Sus scrofa: one gene and its partners. The protein of the gene in region 1 interacts with the protein of each later gene in a pairwise test. Links are inferred from orthologs where the notes say so. Each region holds a gene or a part of one and is shown in the gene's direction. Other genes may lie near its edges. The genes, in order: SMYD1, FAM204A and ZBTB44.

Region 1 (4,124 bases):
AAAAAATCAGGATATGCAGAAGATTCTGCAGCTGCTTCCAGAAGTCAAGGCAGTTTCAGGAGATGCAATTTGGTTGAAGGCACATTAGAATCGCTAGTGTATCTGGATGGTTTAGGGAAGATAAAGTGACTGAATACATAAAATATGGAAAAAGTCCCATTCAAAGTGCCGAAAGGTATGCTACTTCCTTGGTGCCTATTACTTCATTTACCAGTGAAACTATCCCCCTTGTTTTGTAACTAGGATATCAAAGTTGTCCCTGTAGGCTCAAAATTTAAATGCAGATTTAGCTGACACAGAAGCCAGCACTTACAAGCTACTGCACTCACAGAAATCCAGAGCACAGAAATCTGTAAATAGATGCATCCCAGAAACTAAAAATATTACCTGAAAGGTAAGCCACAGCTCCAGATCTGCAAGAGTCTTTCTTTTCAACCTCAGTGAGAGCTGCCTGGCCTTCAAGACAAGTGGCTTTTAGTTCAAGGGAGATTTTGCAATAATCCATCCAATATCCAATTACTATTTTTCTGGCAACAAACACATGTTTAAGGGAGATTTGATAGCCTGAGAGACAGGAGAGTGTTCATTGTCAAGGCCTGCCTGCTCTCATAATATAGCTTTCATCTAGCACATACGTGTTATCAGGGAATTCTCAGTCCTCCAGGCCCTGGATGGAGGTGCTGTGGGAGGCCCAGGTTATACTGGGGAAGAGGGATGCCCATTAGAACCTAAACGTACTGTTATGCACATAGCCCAGAGGCCACTTTTGCATCTGCTGCTTTCTGCAAACAGTCCACCCATGTGGATTTGCTCTGGTGCCTGGGGCGGGGGCGGGCGGGGGGGGGGGAACAAGGGGCCCGTCTCACTTGAGAAAGTCCAAGCCTGACAGCTGAAGGGTCCCAGAACAGTAAGCATCACCTCGCCTCTTCTCTTGGACCACTTCAGCTGTCTGCTTTGGATTGACACAGGCATCTGGCTGCTAAAAATACCCGACTGACCAAGTGCCGCCTATTCCAACTCAAGCTGAGCATGACTGCCATCCAGGACTTAACTACCCTTGCAAAAGAACTTTTCAAAAGTTTTCAGACCCAATATGAGAAGCACACCAACCCATAATCATTTTCTATGTTGTCGGTTACATTGGGCGGTGCGAGGGACCCTTCCCAGATCACTGGCCTCTGGCTTGCCCCATCCCTGTCTCCAAGAATAGAGGCAGAGGGGGAGGTGGGGACCCAGTGGCTGAGAGGGGGTAGGGAAGGGGAGGTGCTTGTCCATTTATAGGCTTGCTCTTTGGGATGCTGAAGGTGCTGAAATAGCAGCGAGGACAAGGGACTTGGCTCAGTGTTAAATATCTGCCGAGCTGCCCTAAGATTCTGAGATGACAATAGAGAGAATGGAGAATGTGGAGGTCATTACTTCTGAGGGCAAAGGCAGAGGTCTGAAGGCCACCAAGGAGTTCTGGGCTGCTGATGTCATCTTCGCTGAGCGGGCTTACTCTGCCGTGGTTTTTGACAGGTACAGAATGTGGGTGGTTGCCCTCTTTTCTCCTGTTGGTTTGGCTGTTGCCACATTCTCAAATATTTTGCTCTCAAAATCATCAGAGCAAGGGATAAAATCCATGGGGCCATTGATAAGGAATGGCATTCCAACAGCTAACTGTTTTCTTGTGTAACTTTTCCTGCAAAGAGTCACTGCCAGTGGGATTTGCTCTGGTGCCTGGGGTGGGGTTGCAAAGGTGATCAAAGGCTTGGGGGCAAGTGCTCAGAGCACTGGTGAACTTGGCTGAGTGGGAGTGCTGTGTGTGGTGAGGTTGGAGAGAAAGGGAGAGGTGGGTGTGGTGCCTTGAAATCTTTTCCAGAGGGCTCCATGTTTTTTAGCTTCTGAGATAAAATAAACATATTAGAGAAGTAAGTGAGTCCTGGGATTTTAAAAACATGTAAATATGCAAGTACTCCTGGAGTCCATTTGCTTTTGAAAATAGGAGTATCACCCATGAACGGGAATCCTCTTTTACCTTTCCCACCCAGAAACCCAGTCCCCTCTGTCTTTCCTCAGAGGTAATCCTTCTTGTGATTTTAATGATTCTTTCTAGAATATTCTTGTTCTATTGCATCTATCTGTCTATATCTGTACTTACCAAATATATAGCTGTAATTTGTCTTTTTTTAACAGAAATGTTATCATACTTCAGACATCATTCTGAAACATACTGTTTTCACTAAGCATGTTTTGATACTTATCCATGTGGAAACTGTAAGTTTATAGACACTTCTTTTAAATCGTCAAAGATCTGTTTTTTCCTCCCACGTGTAGATCTATCCATGTTGATCCATACGCTCTATGGATCACAAATTTTAACTTCTGTAGATATTCTTCCCTGTAAATATATGGTCTTTAAGAAATCTGTTGCCCTATTGAGAAACATTTGGTGGTCTCCATTTTTTTTCATAAAAACAAATATTTCTGCAGTTAAAATCCTCGATCATGTCCACTTGTACTCATGCGTGATAATTCTCTAGGATGAATGGCTAAAAGAGGAATCACTCTGCCATAGGGTGTACTTTTTTCCATTTTAATAGGATCTCCTTAGTGGGTCTGTTAAATTTACATTCTCATTTCCTCACAATCCTGTCCATCCTTGACCCAAACTTTCAAATTAGTACTAAATCTCTATTTTTCTTTTTTTTTTTTTTAGAAAAAACCTTATACTGTGATGAAATTATAACAGTATTCTCAAAAGTTGGGGTGGCCTGCCTGACATTGATGTAGTCTCAATAAAGATGGCCTCTGATCTTGGCTTCGTGACCATCCTGAGAATGGGCAAAGGTTTTCAGAGATAATTTGAGCAGCATTTGAATTCTCATTTCTTCCTACCTATGAAGACCTTCAGGGAGAAGGCAGCTGATACCAGCTGAGGAATATAAAGCAGCTGAGAGGACAGTAATACCTCTTGGGGGAGTGGGTCTTACCTTATTTATTTATTTATTTTCATCTTTTTAGGGCTGCACCCATGGCATATGGAAGTTCCCAGACCAGGGGTCCAATCGGAGCTGCAGCTGCCAGCCTATAGCCACAGCCACAGCAACGCCAGATCAGAGCAGCATCTGCGAATCTACAGTGCAGCTCACAGCAATGCTGGATCCTTAACCCACTGAGCAGGGCCAGGGATTGACCCTGCATCCTCATGAATCTTAGTCAGATTTTTTTTTTTTTTTTTTTTTTACCACTGAGACGCAATGGGAACTCTGGGTCTTACTTTGTTAATGTAATTGTGTGTGTGTGTATGTGTGTGTGTGTGCGTGTGTCTGTTGGGGGTGGATGAGGAGTTAGTGGCATCCAAAATTAAGACATAAAAAGCTGGAAACACAGGGTAGTTCCCATTGTGGCTCAGTAGTAAGGAACCTGCCTAATGCCATGAGGATTCGGGTTCTATCTCTGGCCTCACTCAGTGGGTAAAGGATCCGGTGTTGCTGTGAACTGTGGTGTAAGTTGCAGATGTGGCTCGGGTCTGGTGTTGTTGTGGCTGTGGTGTAGCCTGGCAGCTGCAGCTCCGATTTGACCCCTGGTCTGGGAACTTCCATGTGCCACATGGCCCTAAAAAGGAAAAGGAAAAAAAAATCTAGAAACACAGGAACCCTGAATAATCTTGGTGCTGCCACTGAGTTGCCACCTTGCCTTTTAAAGAACCTCCATGGGTTTCTGCAATTCCCTAAAAGCCAATATGGCCAATCAGTTTCTCCTTCACGACGGTTTGGAGTTGAGTGGGTTTTCCCTTCATTATAAAAGTCAAATTTAGGAAGAAAAAAAGGTATCTTCACACCAAGATAACTCAACCTTGTTGATTGTCTCCTGCTTATTTTACAACACAGGGTTCATTTGTTTGTACTACAGGCTTGTATATTATTATATATAAACTACCATTTTTTTAATGGCTGCACCTGCAGTATATGGAAGTTACCCAGGCCAGGGATCAAACCTGTGCTTCCCCAGAGACTAGAGCCACTGCAGTTGGATTCCTAACTGACTGTGCCACAGTGAGAACTCCAAACTATCATGGGTTTTTCATTTAATGATTTAGATGTCTTCTGTGTCACTACACTCTCTTCATGAATGTAGTACTTAAC
Region 2 (3,094 bases), on another chromosome or scaffold:
ATCTGTGACTGCCAGTCCGAGCTTGTGATCAGCGTGAGATAACGGGTGTGCCCATACTCAGTTGCCGTAATTCCAGCCCCGAGCAAAGAAACTTGATGTCTCTGTCAGCCTGCGCAGCCTTATCGGGTAAATTCCTGTCTGGTCTCCTGAAAGGCTGAAATAGCTTCAGGATCTTCATCCTCCGCCCCGCGGACCCTCGAGGGCCTTCGTGTGGGCAGGATCTCCGTCTGGGAGACTGGTCCAACTGGGGACAAGGCCTGCCAGAGGGGAGGGGAGGGGAATTGGGGCTGTCTTTGCACTCCTTTTGGTGGTTTGGGGGAGGGGGCTGATCATAAGAATGTCTCTTCTTAGCATGTCTAAAGCAATGTAGACTGGCTTTCTTCCCCCACAAATTCTCGAGTATTCTACCATTGTCATTCTTACACTAGCTGGAATATTCATCTCGACTTTGTCTCCTTTGTGATTGCTAGCTTGGTGTAAAAATTGCCAAAGCAATTGCCTGCCACAACTTTGTGAAAGCCAAAAAAGATGCTGAAAATTCACAGGTTGCTCGAAAAAAGAAGAAACTTGCCTGGGGGTAAGTTTAAGGGTTTTGTGGGGGGTTTTGGTTTTTTGGTTTGTTTTGTTTTTTGGTAATTCTACTAACTAAATTATGGAAATCCTGTGATACATTTTGGGAATCCGTTTTTGTCATTGTTACTCATTTTATTCTTTGTATCTTTGCTGAATGTTTATCAGGTTATACATATGGAGACATCTCCTCATCCTTGGTTGATGGACCATCTGAAAACTTTTTACTTTTACTTTGGTGCTTAGTAAACATGTGACTTTAGGAAAGTATTTAGCAATCAATTGAGATGTTCATGTTCTTCCTTTTAGGTTTGAAGCAAAGAAGAGGTGGGAAACCAAAAGTAACATGGGGTATATGTGACTTGTCAGAATTCCTCAAGACCTTCAAGACTTCTCCCTTGAATCTTCAGTTGCTCAATTGACTGAAAAAAATTTTCCTGCTTCTGTTAACTATATCAGGAAATTGATGGAAGTAGAAAAAATAAGCATAACATTTGGGAGTTGATTATCAAATCTTTTTCAGTCTTTTTCTAAAGAGTTCATCCTATTGAAGTAAATGACATGGAGAATTCTGTTATTTGTACAGGAAATTTAAGCATACATATGGAGGGAAAAGATAGGATTTTATTTCTTTGTTTATCTGGACCTCCAGGATAAAATCAATTTTACTTTTCATCCATTTGGTGTAGCATAGCCAAAGAGCTCCTCGTGCTTTCTTATCTGTACTCAGTGTAACTACACTCATTCTGGAGTTATTCTGGAGTTTTTAAGATTGTCATTTGTTTGTAATGGATTAGTCATAAGTGCAAGAAAGTCTCAATTGATAATGAGACTTTTCCAATTTGTAAGTCACTTTACAAACAACTTTAATTATCTTAATGTTATCAAAGTAATTATTGATTCTTTATTAGAGGCAGTAGCATTGATATTTCACAGTCACATAATAAAAGCAATTGATTAATTTCTGTGTACTTTCAGATTAAGTATCACAGTTTTAAGAAATGACAGAATGTAGTGTTTGAAGGATGATTTAAATTCCAGTTCTCTGCCTGGAAATGTCTTCTTAAATCTCTCTCTCGCCTCTGTCATTTAAATTATGAGATGGTTCTTAGAGGAGAAATTGGTGTGATATTGTTAGTTATAACTCAAGACAGTGTAACTTTGAACTTCTAAGAACGTTGGCTTGATTGTTTTTACTCCTCTTCCCCATTAATCCTGGAAAGATTGAATGAATGAATGAATGAATGATGAAGGGGATTGCTTCCCTGAGAAGTAGTTTTCATCAGAAGTGTGCTTTGAGAAATCATGTCACAAGCTGGTGGACGAGACCACGGCTGGAAGTTGTGATTTTTTGGGCAGGTCTTTGGTGTTCTGACACCTCCTTCTTGGTGCTCAGCAGAGGGAAAGAACTGCTTTTGGTGGGTTTTCATTAATTCACTTCCCTTCATCAGAGGTTTTCTAGCCATCTAATACAGACTTTCTCTAGGCTAATAATATGAATTCAGGAACATAGAAGATGAGTCATGATTGTAATTATATTATTAGTAGTAGTATTTTGTTACTTTTAGACTTACAATTAATAACCAAATTTTACTAATTATGATGACATATTTAATGGGGTTTTTTCCTTTGTTTTGGACTAAGTCAGCAACTAGTTGCTATTCAAGAGAGCAAAAATCATATCATGTAATAAAGAAGGCAAGATTTTAGGAGATAGTGTATCTGCTTATAGAATTAATTCATCATGAAAAGATGTTCAGACCAAATATTGGGAAATCTTTACATTTCTGCTTAAACATTCCTTTGTTGGGGTCTGTAGGTATAATCATACACAACTTACCTGCACCATCTTATTTTGCACTCCTAAGAGGTGAATAAAACTTAGAGTATAGGAGTTCCCGTCGTGGCGCAGTGGTTAACGAATCCGACTAGGAACCATGAGGTTGCGGGTTCGATCCCTGCCCTTGCTCAGTGGGTTAACAATCTGGCGTTGCTGTGAGCTGTGGTGTAGGTTGCAGACGCGGCTCAGATCCTGCGTTGCTGTGGCTCTGGTGTAGGCTGGTGGCCGCAGCTCCGATTAGACCCCTAGGCTGGGAACCTCCATATGCCGCAGGAGCGGCCCAAGAAATAGCAAAAAAAAAAAAAAAAAAAAAAAACTTAGAGTATAGAGAAGGTTCCTCTGAAAAATCTCTCATGGGGGAGCTATCCACCACACAGTCCCGTGGTTTTGTCCAAAACTTGCCAAACATCCTCTTTGAGCTGGCGGGTGATGAACGTATTCTCATGCACAGGGCTCACAGACACCCATCTCCCTCCAGGCACAACTCCCCACTCTGCTCGTGCTGAGGCCTTACCGGAGTGGCCTCCTGTAGGGTCTGATTTGGGAGCCCCCGACCCCAGGTCTTGCTGTGGACGCCCTTCTTCGGCCTGCTCCCTGGCCATGGTGGGAGCACTTCCCCTGAGTGGGAGACTCACCTGAGAGGAGGAACCATGTCACGTTAGTCCTTATGCTTCGGGGCCTGGG
Region 3 (4,360 bases), on another chromosome or scaffold:
GGCACTTTATGCAGAAATGATTTCTCCTCTATTGGAATGAGCCAAGTCAGACTAGAGATCTTGCAGTTAAGTGTCAAGCATTCTTATTCTGAAATAAGTTATGGACTAAGTAAGTTCCCACTCAGCTATAATGCTCTAACACAAGCAAGTGGCATTTGTGCCAGAATTTGGTCCCCCAAATTTATGGCTGAAATAAAACCCTCTTTGCCTGGAATTTGAATTCCTTAGCGTCACCTACACCAGGTTAATAATTAAAGGTTCCTCATACTGTTTTACGTTTGTTTGTTTCACCTGTATGCAGGATTCTGGTTTCAGAAAATCCTCCCAGTGGTATTATTTAATCGAGTGTCAAAGAAAGGTGTATATATTCCACCAACTGAAGGGCAAGCCTCTACTAGTCCAGGAAGAAAAAAGTGGGAGGCTGCAAAAGCCACAGAAACTAACCCTACCCAAAGCCAAAACAGAGGAAAGGACTACAACAAAGTTAATCTTTGTATTTCTTCTTACACCTTATCCAAGCATCTAGCACTGTGCCCTTAGGGCCCCACAGCCATTTGGTGGTTAATTGATCTTCCAGTCCCAGGGTGGGGGTGGAGTGAGAGGCCGATAATTTTTAAGTGTAAAATGAAAATCAGAATAGTACAAAAGGGAAGGAAAGGGAGAAAAGAGAGTAAACTAAAAAAGAAAGCTGGTTTTGTTTTGTTTTGTTTTTTTGGCCAGGGCTGCTACTCTTGCCACGAAAGGAAGTTGCCACCTCAGTCCCTTGGGTAATGAGTAGTAAGGACCTGACCAGTTGTCTTTTATTGACTGTCCTACTGAATACCCTAGGAGAGGTCGACACGATTTGTTTGACTTTATTCCCATCCTGATTCTTCTCCAGGTGTTACCTGTGCACCTGCTCTAACACCAGGACTTCAGGCCTTCCTGAGACTTGCTCTGTCGCTCCTGTTTTCCGCCGAGGGTAAGCATTCCACCTTCTTTTTTTCTCCTTCTTCAAATTTCAGCACAAAATTTTCTGGGCCTCTTTCACATCGTTCCGACTTGGATCTCTGAAATGGGAATAATAAAATGATGGTGGAAATAGTGGTAAAACTTATTAGTACTACAATTGCGGTGGCCGTTAGACATACATACTGGAAAAGCAGTTGGAAACTGCAAAAGACTATAAAATTAGACGTTGTTTTTATGGCCTTTATTTTTAAAGTGGGTTTCAGTGGTTAGAAAGAGGGGGTGCTAGGGTGCTGGTCTCTCGGAAAGATTAATGCAAGACGTTACCAAGTGTTTCAAAAGAAATCTCCACTCTACTTCGGGCGGGATGTCAGCTCACCTTGCACAAAGCCCTTTGGAGAGAAGTCTTTCGGTGTAAAAGCTGGAGGCGTGGGAAAACAAAGTATGCGAACCCAGAGCGCCTGAGGCACTGCAGGCCGCACCCCCTCCACCTCTGCGCGGCCGGCGGGCTTGCCTGGAGCGCGCTTGTACCCGCAGCCCTGGCGCCCCTTCTACCCGCCGATCTCCGTCCCGGGCGCTCGCCCGCCCGCCCCGGGACGCTAAGACTTGGGGTCCAGGAATTTTACCACTTTACATGATTTTGCAGTGGACCGAGAGCTCTAGAGCGCCTCCCGGCCGTACCAGTCACTTCGGGGCGCCCCACAGTCTTCCCCGCCGGAAAGCCAGGTTAGTGGTGGTAGAGCCAAAAAAATTCAAGCTTGTGGAAGGAACGGGCATATTTTGGGGGAACGAGATGAATTCCTTCAGTCACTTCAGAACCGCACGTCCCGCCAGGTGGCCCAGGGAGGGAAGTTCTAGAAAAATCCTCGGGCACCAATATGACGCCGGGGGTGCAAAGGCCGCAGGCAACCGGGACACCGGCTGCCTGCAGCGGAAGCGGGCGTGGGAGCCAGCGGGGCTCAGCGTCCTCACCTGTCAAGGCCGCCTCTCCGCAGGCCTCAGTTTCCGTGTGCGAGAAATGGGCCCACTACCAGCTCAGCTCCCTCACCAAGAGAAAGCGCCTGGGGTGTTCCGGTTCAACCCCGCTACAGAAACCACTCGAGAAAACAGGAGTTTCTTTCGGTTTTAGTTCAAAGAAAACAAAAAAAGACAAGAAGCGTGAACCATGCCCAGAAATGTTTGTCAGGGCTAACGGGAAGGCGGCTTTGGACGGGTAGAGGAAAAGCGAATTGGCCAGGGTCTGGGCGGTGTGTATCGGTAAATCAGCACGTGTGCACAGACGCAAAGATGCACGAGCGGTGTCAAAACCCGCGGGTGTCAGGAGGCCGAGTCGCCCACAGTTCAAGCCCCGAACTGGGAGCGGCCTTTTCTGCGGCTGCGCAATACCCGTGTCTCCCCGCTCGCGCCCCGCCCCCGAGCTCGCTCCGCCCCGCCCACTTGCCCTCCCCTTCCCCAGCCCGGCCGCCCGCGCAGAGCATTGTGGGACACAAACAAAGTGCCCCCAAACAGGCTGGAGTGAGCCGAGCGGCAACAGCGGCGGCGCCGTCCCGCACGCGCGCGGCGGCGGCTCCCTCCCAACCTCCCCCTCCCCTCCCCTCACTCCCCTTCCCCTTCCCCACCCCGACCCGCCAGGAAAACGCGAGCCGTCGCCGCGCTCCCCAAACCGCTTGCCCTCGGCCAACCGCCCCCAACGGCCGCTCGCGCGGCTCGCGGGGCCCCCTCGCTCCTCCCCTCAGGCCCTCGGCGCTCTTCCCTCCCGCCGCCTCTCGCCCCCCACCTCGCAGGCACGCCGCTGCTCGGGGCCGCCATGCCCCAGCCGCAGGCCGTCCACGGGCCTAGGCGCGGCGGCCCGAGATAGGGTCCCCTCCGCCTCCCGGGGGAGGAGAGAGGCTGCGAGCCGCGCGCTCCGCCCCCTCCCCCGGGCCGCCGCCGCCGCCGCCACCTCGCCGCCACAGCCTGGAGGGGAGGAGGAGGAGGAGCAGCAGGCCTCCGGGCCCTGGCACCGCCGCCCGCAGGTAACGAAGAGGGAAGGGGAGGGCGGGGGCCGGCCCTTTTTCGCCGCGCGCGCCCGCCGAGGGCTGCCACCGTGCGTCTCCCATCTGGGCGCTGGACGGTAAGGAACCGGGAGAACCCTATCGGGTGCTCTCAATGGTATCTAATCCTTTAGGGAGGAGACTGAACCTGGGCCCTGACGTCCAGGAGAAATTGCCCCGATCTCCCAGGGCGCCCCCAGTGTGCACGCGCGTGTGCCCAGCACCCTAACCCCGAGGAGGCGGGGTGTCAGCGTCCCACCTGGTCGTGCCGGGAGCCCGAGATCCGACTGTTCCCTCCTCTCCCCTGCTTCTTTTTCTGATAGTGGGGAAAAAAAGGGCGACACTTATTTAAAAAACAAAACAAAAAAACCCACGTTTTTTTCTTCCCTACCTGAGGATGGGTCTGCTTCTAGTCATTTTCTGCTGGCCTAGCCGGAAAAGGGTTACCTGCGAGTGACATGACGAGTTACGTTAGCACTGATGAAAGGAAACTGCATGCTTGTGAGTTGTATGATGCTTAACTAGAATTTAGGATAAAGCCCAAAAATTGTGTGCTTTATTGGAACTTATAGAAATGAAGACAAAAACTTCGTTTTTTTAAGAAAACGTATAAGTAGATTATCAGTTGGTCAGGAAGAAAGTCTCTAACTTCCACTTATTTTCTTAATGTTTTATTCGGATAGAGGCTAATACCAAAAGCAGACTTCACAATTTGATAGATACGAATGGTTTGGGTAGGTAGATTTTTTTGCCTAGAGGGTCTCAGTTGGAATTACTGGATTTTAAAAAATATTATATAAATCTTCATTATGCATTTACTTACCCCCGTCACTTCGCTTTAACTGCCAATGGACTTTTAATTTTACCTAATGTATCTTTATCGTGGAATGTGGCGATAATGAAAGGAATGTTTTCCTATAGCCCTGTATTTTAGAATGATAGCATTAAATAGGCAAACCAGGTTTACTTTTTCTGTGCTACACTACTAGGCATTTTACACATGTGATCTGATTTGATTCTTAGAACAACCTAATGACTTAGACATTATTACTTGAGTTTTATAGATGAGACAGAAACTTAAGTAATTTTAAGTAACTTTGCCTTAGGCCACACAACTAGTTAGTAATAGAAGTGAAATTTGTCCCCAGATATAATTCCATTGTAGAAATGTTTTCTACTGTGCCTCTCAGTATAGGAATACTTTTAAAAAACTTAATGTGAAAAATACCAGTCTCTCGGAAATTAAGGGAAAATGTAGTGAATACTCCAATACTTAGATTCAGTGATTAGCATTTTTGTGGTATTGACCCCCCCACCTCTCTTCCCTTTCTGTGTGTCTCTCTAACTATTTGAAAGTAAATTGCAAACACCAAGACACT

What was found.
Region 2: the proteins of SMYD1 (region 1) and FAM204A interact in binary tests that used the Homo sapiens proteins (3 or more experiments, as listed by UniProt). The link is inferred for Sus scrofa from reciprocal best matches to the Homo sapiens genes SMYD1 and FAM204A.
Region 3: the proteins of SMYD1 (region 1) and ZBTB44 interact in binary tests that used the Homo sapiens proteins (3 or more experiments, as listed by UniProt). The link is inferred for Sus scrofa from reciprocal best matches to the Homo sapiens genes SMYD1 and ZBTB44.

What each region holds. Positions count from the first base shown.
Region 1 is NC_010445.4:57,915,737-57,919,860, reverse strand, and holds the start of SMYD1 (histone-lysine N-methyltransferase SMYD1), read left to right. Parts: upstream 1-1,284; 5' UTR 1,285-1,378; coding exon 1,379-1,515; intron 1,516-4,124. UniProt on the Homo sapiens protein: Methylates histone H3 at 'Lys-4' (H3K4me), seems able to perform both mono-, di-, and trimethylation. Acts as a transcriptional repressor. Essential for cardiomyocyte differentiation and cardiac morphogenesis.
Region 2 is NC_010456.5:128,365,521-128,368,614, reverse strand, and holds the end of FAM204A (protein FAM204A), read left to right. Parts: intron 1-470; coding exon 471-577; intron 578-879; coding exon 880-931; 3' UTR 932-2,463; downstream 2,464-3,094.
Region 3 is NC_010451.4:57,015,899-57,020,258, reverse strand, and holds the start of ZBTB44 (zinc finger and BTB domain-containing protein 44), read left to right. Parts: upstream 1-1,455; 5' UTR 1,456-1,674; intron 1,675-2,434; exon of another isoform or gene 2,435-2,725; coding exon of another isoform or gene 2,726-3,054; exon of another isoform or gene 3,055-3,061; intron 3,062-3,451; coding exon of another isoform or gene 3,452-3,478; intron 3,479-4,360. Other genes in the region: proline-rich protein 18-like, read right to left, coding at 1,001-1,049, 2,726-3,054, 3,452-3,478. UniProt on the Homo sapiens protein: May be involved in transcriptional regulation.